2 linked regions of the Ovis aries genome follow. Each later gene encodes a partner of the first gene's protein in a complex. Links are inferred from orthologs where the notes say so. Each region holds a gene or a part of one and is shown in the gene's direction. Other genes may lie near its edges. The genes, in order: LZTS1 and ASB7.

The links.
Region 2: the proteins of LZTS1 (region 1) and ASB7 are in contact, whole or in part, in a crystal structure (PDB 8Y1U), measured with the Homo sapiens proteins. The link is inferred for Ovis aries from reciprocal best matches to the Homo sapiens genes LZTS1 and ASB7. Residues at the interface, in NP_001349813.1 of Homo sapiens: Arg346, Glu348, Leu349, Leu352, Met353, Glu355, Gln356, Leu358, Leu359, Glu360, Lys362, Leu363, Arg364, Ser365, Tyr366; in NP_937886.1 of Homo sapiens: Asn46, Trp48, Ala56, Ile79, Phe82, Tyr87, Met90, His91, Asp116, Trp118, Val123, His126, Tyr127, Ser147, Lys149, Thr151, Gln155, Leu156, Ile159, Arg160, Phe182, Arg185, Tyr186, Ile189, Lys190, Arg210, Leu220, Leu223.

Annotation. Positions count from the first base shown.
Region 1 is NC_056055.1:45,556,729-45,560,545, forward strand, and holds part of LZTS1 (leucine zipper putative tumor suppressor 1), read left to right. Parts: intron 1-3,378; 5' UTR 3,379-3,511; coding exon 3,512-3,817. UniProt on the Homo sapiens protein: Involved in the regulation of cell growth. May stabilize the active CDC2-cyclin B1 complex and thereby contribute to the regulation of the cell cycle and the prevention of uncontrolled cell proliferation. May act as a tumor suppressor.
Region 2 is NC_056071.1:5,418,407-5,422,223, reverse strand, and holds part of ASB7 (ankyrin repeat and SOCS box protein 7), read left to right. Parts: intron 1-105; 5' UTR 106-159; coding exon 160-370; intron 371-3,817. UniProt on the Homo sapiens protein: Probable substrate-recognition component of a SCF-like ECS (Elongin-Cullin-SOCS-box protein) E3 ubiquitin-protein ligase complex which mediates the ubiquitination and subsequent proteasomal degradation of target proteins.

The DNA of each region.
Region 1 (3,817 bases):
CTTCTGGTAAGATCCAATAAACTGCTTGTAATGGCCCCATGAGGTATCATCATGTTTCCCTGATTCTAAGAGATCATCAGTTTAATAAAAGCTTTTCATAGAAAAGCATGCATTACACTTATGGAACGCTGTTTTGTTGTGTGGTGCTCTTATGATTGGAATATAGGATGTATTTATTCATGTCATAGCTACTTTAGCCTTCAAGATGACAATGCATGTTTGAATCTGAGCCTTCATCTTCAGAGTCTGAAGAGTCTTCTGGCTCCCTCAGCTGTGCCCATAATACCCCCTTCTCACCCACGTGGGATGTCTTCTGCCCCTTTCAGGTGACAGGGTAATTTAGAGCAGAATAAAGAATGCAGGGTTCCTTCTGCATTTCCTATTTTATTAAACTCGCCGTGTCCCTCCCTTCCCCCCGCTTCTTAATTGAATCATCTGTCTTTTGACTGACTGAGATACTCCTTCTCAATGCATGGCAATCACACAGCATTTCCAAGCTCTGAAAATCAGGTGACCCGGGCTTGAGCGATTCGCCTACATCCGCGAGGGTGTCCGCACTGCCTTCTGGTGCATTCCTCTGTCTGGTGACTGGCAAGGCCGTTGTTATCGTTTTCAGCGTTGATGATAAGATGCAGTGCTGTTACTTAAAAAAAAAACCCTAAGTGTATCTCAGAATTGGTTTGTGACACTGAAGGTAAAGATGTAAGAGAGTTTGCCTTCCACATCATAGCTGGCAGGGAGCATAACTGGGAATCCAAACCAAGTCGCCCATGTTACTATTCATTGTTCAAGAGTACAGTTGTTTCTCTCTTCTTCTTGTGAGCCCTCTCCAGTCAGGCCTTTGCTTGCACCATTCCACCAAAACCACTCTTGTCAAGGTCACTGGTGCCTCCGCACAGCCAAATCCATTGACCAATTCTTAGTTGCCATCTTAGTTCAGCATCACTTGACACCATCTTCATCCTTACATTTCACGGGTCTCCTGCATGTCTGTCAAAGATCCGTTAGTGTCTCTTCCTCATTCCCACTCATCTTCCTGGCCTCTGTGAACCAGTCCTCATATTTCTCTTGCCTTCTTGCCCTTGCTTTTTCATCTAGTCTCAGACCTAGCTCCGAGACTGTGCACAAACAACTCACACAGGGAAATCTGCAGCCTGCCCTGCTCCACACCCATCCTACTCCACATCACTGCTTGGATCTCTAATGGGCTTTGCAATCTTAATGTCTTAAACCAAAGTACTATTTCCACCCCCTCTTCATCCTAAACTGGTTCCTTTTGTGGTCTTTTGCATCTCAATAAATGGCAACTTACTTCTTCTGGATACTTGGATAAAAAACATTGAAGTCATCCTAGATTCCACTCTTTCCCTCCCTGCATTCAATCTTTTAACTAGTACCATCAGCTCAACCTTAAAATTACATCTGAAATTGAATCCAGGGCTGCCCTGCTTGCTCAGTGGTAAAGAATCCACTTACCAGTGCAGGAGACATGGGTTCAATTCCTGGTCTGGGAAGATCCCACATGCGGCAGAGCAACTAAGCCTGTGTGGCACAAATATTGAGCCTGTGTCCTAGAGCCCAGGAGCCGCAACTACTGAGCCCAGTTGCCACAGCTACTGAAGCCCGTGCAACCCAGAGCCCATGCCCTGCAACGAGAGAAGCCACTGCAATGAGAAGCCCGTGCACCGCAACTAGAGAAAAGCCCACAAAGTCGCGAAGAGCCAGCACAGTCAAGACTAAGTAATTAAAAATAAAATTGAAGAGAAATCGAATCCACAGCCAGCACCCTAGCCTAGCCATGTTAGTCACTCAGCTGCTGTAACAGGCCCAGCACCTCCAACTCAAGCTCTTCAGTGGCTCTTTTCTGTACAGCAGCCAGAGTGACCCTCCACAACCCAAGTCAGACCAAGTTGTCAGCTGCTTAAACTCATCTGGGGGCTTCTTATCTCAGACTAAAGCCAAAACCTTTATGGCCAGTCAGGCTCTCTTTTGCCTGGCACCTACGAGCTCTCTGACGTCTGTGTCCTCCAAACCCCCACTGCTAACTACCTTCCAGCCAGACTGGCCTCCTTGCTGGTCTCACAAATGCCCAACACATTCCACTCAGGGACTCAGGGCTTTGCACTTGGGGCTACCCCTGAGCTTCCTCTTTCTCCCCACAGATCTCCTTACATAGCTTTCTCCTTCATTTTCTTGGGGTCTCTTCAAATGACACCAAACAGAGAGGTTTCCTCTGTTTTCCCTGCATAAAAGAACCACTTCCCCTTCCTGGTGGCTCAGACGGTAAAGAGTCTGCCTGTGGTGTGGGAGACCTGGGTTCGATTCCTCGGTCGGGAAGATCCCCTAGAGAAGGGAATGGCTACCCATTCCAGTATTCTTGCCTGGAAAAGTCTACGGACAGAGAAGCCTTACGGGCTATAGTCCATGGGGTCACAAGAAGTCTGAGTGAGCGACTAGTACAACAGAATTCCATCCCATTCACTTGGCTTTATTTCCCCTGAAGCACACAGATCACTTGAGGTCACACACATTGATCTGTTTATGGCCTGTCCACCCTTCACCACACACAAGCCCCGTGAGTGCAGGGACTGGAACTGTTCACCCCTGCATCCCAGTGCTGAGAAGCGAGCCGTCTCAAAAAAGACGTGGGACATACATACAATGGGACATTACTCATTAAAAAGAATGAAATAAGGCCATTTGCGGCAACATGAATGAACCTAGAGAGTATCATACTGAGTGAAGTAAGTCAGACAGAGAAGGAGAAATATATGACATCCCTTTTATGTGGAATCTAAAAAGAAATGATACAAACGAGCTGGCTTACGAAACAGGAAAAAACTAACAGACTTAGAAAACAAACTCACAGTTGCTGGGGGGGAAGGGATAGTTACGGACTTTTGGAAGGTCATGTACCCACTGCTATATTTAAAGCAAATAACCAACAAAAACCTTTGTACACCACATGGAACTCTATTCAGTGTTATGTGCCAGCCTGGATGGGAGGCGGGTTTGAGGGGAGAATGGGTCCATGCATATGTATGGCTGAGTCCCTTTGTTATTCACCTGAAACTATCACACGTTGTTAATCAGCTATACCCTAATACAAAATGTTTTTGGTGTTAAAAAAAAAGAATAAAAATTAAAAAAAAAAAAAAGAAGAAGAGAGTCATCCCATTGGAGGCTTCCAGCAGATGTTTGCTGAATTAGAGGACAAAGGAAGAATGAGAGGGGAGCCCATTGAGACAGAGACAGGGCTGAGCCTCTGTTAGGGGAAAACACGCATTTTGCTGCTGCCCAGATCTCGAGGTTGGTCACGAGTGGGGATGTGCCATGGCCAGCCCATCCAGGCTGACTTCTGCTTATGTCTCCTTCCAGGTCTCAGCTCTCCCAGGCTCTGTGAGGCTTCTGCTATGACTGCAGTCTCTTCTCGGAGCCAGGACTGCCCCTCACCGCCCCTGCCACGCCAGGTCCCCACTCTGCCCCAGCTGTCCTCGGCCCCCGTGTTGCCATGGGCAGCGTCAGCAGCCTCATCTCCGGCCACGGCTTCCACAGCAAGCACTGCCGGGCCTCGCAGTACAAGCTGCGCAAGTCTTCCCACCTCAAGAAGCTCAACCGCTATTCAGACGGGCTGCTGAGGTTCGGCTTCTCCCAAGACTCAGGGCATGGCAAGTCCAGCTCCAAAATGGGCAAGAGCGAAGACTTCTTCTACATCAAGGTCAGCCAGAAGGCCCGGGGCTCCCACCGCCCTGATTACACGGCACTGTCCAGTGGGGACCTAGGGGGCCAGGCAGGGGTGGACTTCGACCCGTCCACC
Region 2 (3,817 bases), on another chromosome or scaffold:
ACTGAGCCTTACATGAGTTAGCAGTGGAAAATTCTGGCGTATTTAATGAACACACTGTCAGGTGTCCGGTATTCTAAATTTTATGTATTGTGCCTACCCTTCAAGGCTGATCCCTGTGACCTAATGAATCCTTTGTAAAAAAACGTGGACTCAGCTAGGATGTTACACCACCATTGTCGAAGGAACCCTGAACTCCAGGAAGAGTTGCAGATTCAAGCTGCAGTGGCTGCCGGGGATGTTCACACAGTGCGGAAGATGTTAGAGCAAGGCTACTCTCCAAATGGCCGAGATGCTAATGGCTGGACCCTGCTTCATTTCTCTGCAGCAAGAGGAAAGGAAAGATGTGTTCGAGTATTTCTAGAGCATGGAGGTGAGTTTACTGGGAGCAAACCTTTTTTCCCCAAGAAGAAACAAATGAAATTCTGTTTAGTTTAAAGTAATGTGTGCATGTGTATATGTTTTTTCTAATACTCGACTTCTTCTTCTCTCCTTTGTTATAATTATGCTGTTTTGTTTAAAACCAGGTTGTCTAAAAAATTGGTTTGATGAATGTGCTTTTTTTCCCCTTGTAACTCTAGTTTCTATATAGCCAGATTTCCCCAGATTATTTCAACTAAAAGCAACCCTTCTTTAGGTTGTCCACTTGCTTTGTTTCAGAAGCAGAAGTGGCTGTGGTCCCAACAACTAAGAATTGCTCAAGTTCCCCCTGTTGAGAATTGCTCAAGCAGACAGAGATACCATAGGCCCCTATAAATACCATGGCCTTCATGATACCCTATCTTTTGAATTTACCTCTTCTAAAAGCATTTTTAGATGCTTTTATTACTGTTTTAGCTCTTGCCTTTTCTAGAATTGTACATAGTTTCTAGATATCCTACAAGATTATCTGAGGTCTAATTTTATATGCAGTTGGAAGCTACATTTACCATTTTATGTTCTTGCTTTGAAAAACTGTCCATTCCCATAATTAATAGTAACTAATAATTGTCTTAAACTCACTTGTTTCCGTATTAGATTTCCACTTAATTTATTTTCCTAGATTTACACTTGTACAAGTGTACAAGATGAACAAACATATTTTTTTGTACTAATATTATTTTCATAAATTATGATGTAAAGCAGCTTAGTTGGAACTCAGGATTCATTATGTACTACTCTAGGGCCTGGATTGCTTATTAACAATCATTTAGTTCCATTTCTGTGCTGTACTTTTGACTAGTCAAACTTGGAAACTATTTTGAAGTACAGAAAATGTTAGAAGTCGCACAGCTGTCATTAGGGTCTTGTGAATTATGTGAAGATAGGAATATGAAGGCTGTGAGCGTGGACTAACTGCTGGGCACTGCTAAACTGAGACTAGGAATCATCACATGTCTTAGTGGCCCTGAAATAAGAATTATGTCCCCAAAATAGTTGGCCATTGACAGGACCCCACCATTCGCTGGCCTGGGCCTCTTTTGTGGCTGTCCTATGCCCCTCCCTGTGGCCCTTGCTCATGCCTCAATTCGCCTTCAAACTTGAAAACGTCAGTGCGGAAGGCCGTGAAGGAGTACTGTATGAGGAATGCCAGAAGAAAGATCTGGAAAAACTAAGAAGTGGGTGTAGAGTCAGAATAGTTAAAATTCTGACACTGCTTCAGCAAAATAAGGAACAGACTCAGATTTTCAAATTCTGCCTAGTTGTGTTACTTTCTGCATCTGTCAGCCTTGCTTTTAACAAACTAATTAAAAAGGAAAGGTCAGTTACTCAGGTAATGTATGAACTTGTCTCCTTAAAACAAATAAAACACAATTTCAAATAAATTATAAATAAAGCCAAAGTCCCCTTTGGTCAGCTCCCAACCCGTGTCTGCCCACCCCTGCCTGGAAGTAACTCATGGCTCTAAGTTTGGTTTGGTCCTATTTTTCTAGATCATTTCCTAACATACTTCTAGAAAATACATCTTATTGTGTTGTCTGTGGTTTTAGAATATAAATTATATACTGACTGTGTTAAAATTCTGCAACTGTTATTTTTTGCTCAGCTATATGTAACTTAAGAATTTTTTAAATGTTAGGTTGGCAGACTTTTTCTGTAAAAGGCCAGATAGTAAATATTTGGGGCTTTGCAAGCCCTTCTTTTTCTGTTGTTAGCTGCTCAGCTCTGCCTTTGTGGCATGAAAGCTGTCATATACAGTGTGAAGGAATGAATGTAGCTGTGTGCTGGTTAAACTTTATCTATAAACACCAGTGGTGTTCTAGATTTGGCCTCTGGGTCCAGTTTGCTGAGCTCTATTTCTCCCCCCAAACCCTACTCTCTGTTTCTGTATATATGTGTATATAGATATTTTTTTAACAGCTTTTATTGAGAAATAATTCACAAACCTTACAATTTGCCCTTTTCAAGTATACAATTTAGTAGATTTTGATGTATTCATAGAGTTGCGCATCTTTCACCACAACCAACTTTGAAACATTTCCATTACCCCGAAAAGAAGTCTTGTCCCACGAAGAAGTCTTGCACCTATCCCATAGTTATGCATGCCAGTTTGTGTGTGTGTGTTTAGTCACTCAGTTACATCCAACTCGCTGTGACACCATGGACTGTAGCCTGCCAGGCTCCTCTGTCCATGGAATTCTTCAGGCAAGAATCCTGGAATGGGTTGCCATTTCCTCCTCCAGGAGTCTTCCTGGCCAGGGATCAAACCCACATCTCTTGATTCTCCTGCATTGGCGACAGATTCTTTACCACTGTGCCACCTGGGAAGCATATATAGGTTTTCTCTGTTCTTTTCAACTGCTCAGTTCACTTCAATTCAGTTCAGTTCAGCAGTCGTGTCCGACTCTTTGCGACCCCATGAATCACAGCACACCAGACCTCCCTGTCCATCACCATCTCCCGGAGTTCACTCAGACTCATGTGCGTCGAGTCAGTGATGCCATCCAGCCATCTCATCCTCTGTCGTTCACTTCTCCTCCTGCCCCCAATCCCTCCCAGCATCACAGTCTTTTCCAATGAGTCAACTCTTCGCATGAGGTGGCCAAAGTATTGGAGTTTCAGCTTCAGCATCAGTCCTTCCAATGGACACCCAGGACTGATCTCCTTTAGGATGGACTGGTTGGATCTCCTTGCAGTCCAAGGGACTCTCAAGAGTCTTCTCCAACACCACAGTTCAAAAGCATCAATTCTTTGGTGCTCAACTTTCTTCACTGTCCAACTCTTATATCCAAACATGACAACTGGAAAAAACATAGCCTAGACTAGACAGACCTTTGTTGGCAAAGTAATATCTCTGCTTTTGAATATGCTATCTAGGTTGGTCATAACTTTCCTTCCAAGGAGTAAGGGTCTTTTAATTTCATGGCTGCAGTCACCATCTGCAGTGGTTTTGGAGCCCAGAAAAATAAAGTCTGACACTGTTTCCCCATCTGTTTCCCATGAAGTGATGGGACCAGATGCCATGATCTTCGTTTTCTGAATGCTGAGCTTTAAGCCAACTTTTTCACTTTCCTCTTTCATTTTCATCGAGAGGCTCTTTAGTTCTTCTTCACTTTCTGCCATAAGAATGGTGTCATCTGCATATCTGAGGTTATTGATATTTCTCCCAGCAATCTTGATTCTAGCTTGTGCTTCTTCTAGCCCAGCGTTTCTCATGATGTGCTCTGCATAGAAGTTAAATAAGCAGGGTGGCAATATACAGCCTTGTACTTCTTTTCCTGTTTGGAACCAGTCTGTTGTTCCATGTCCAGTTCTAACTGTTGCTTCCTGACCTGCATACAGATTTCTCAAGAGGCAGGTCAGGAGGTCTGGTATTCCCATCTCTTTCAGAATTTTCCAC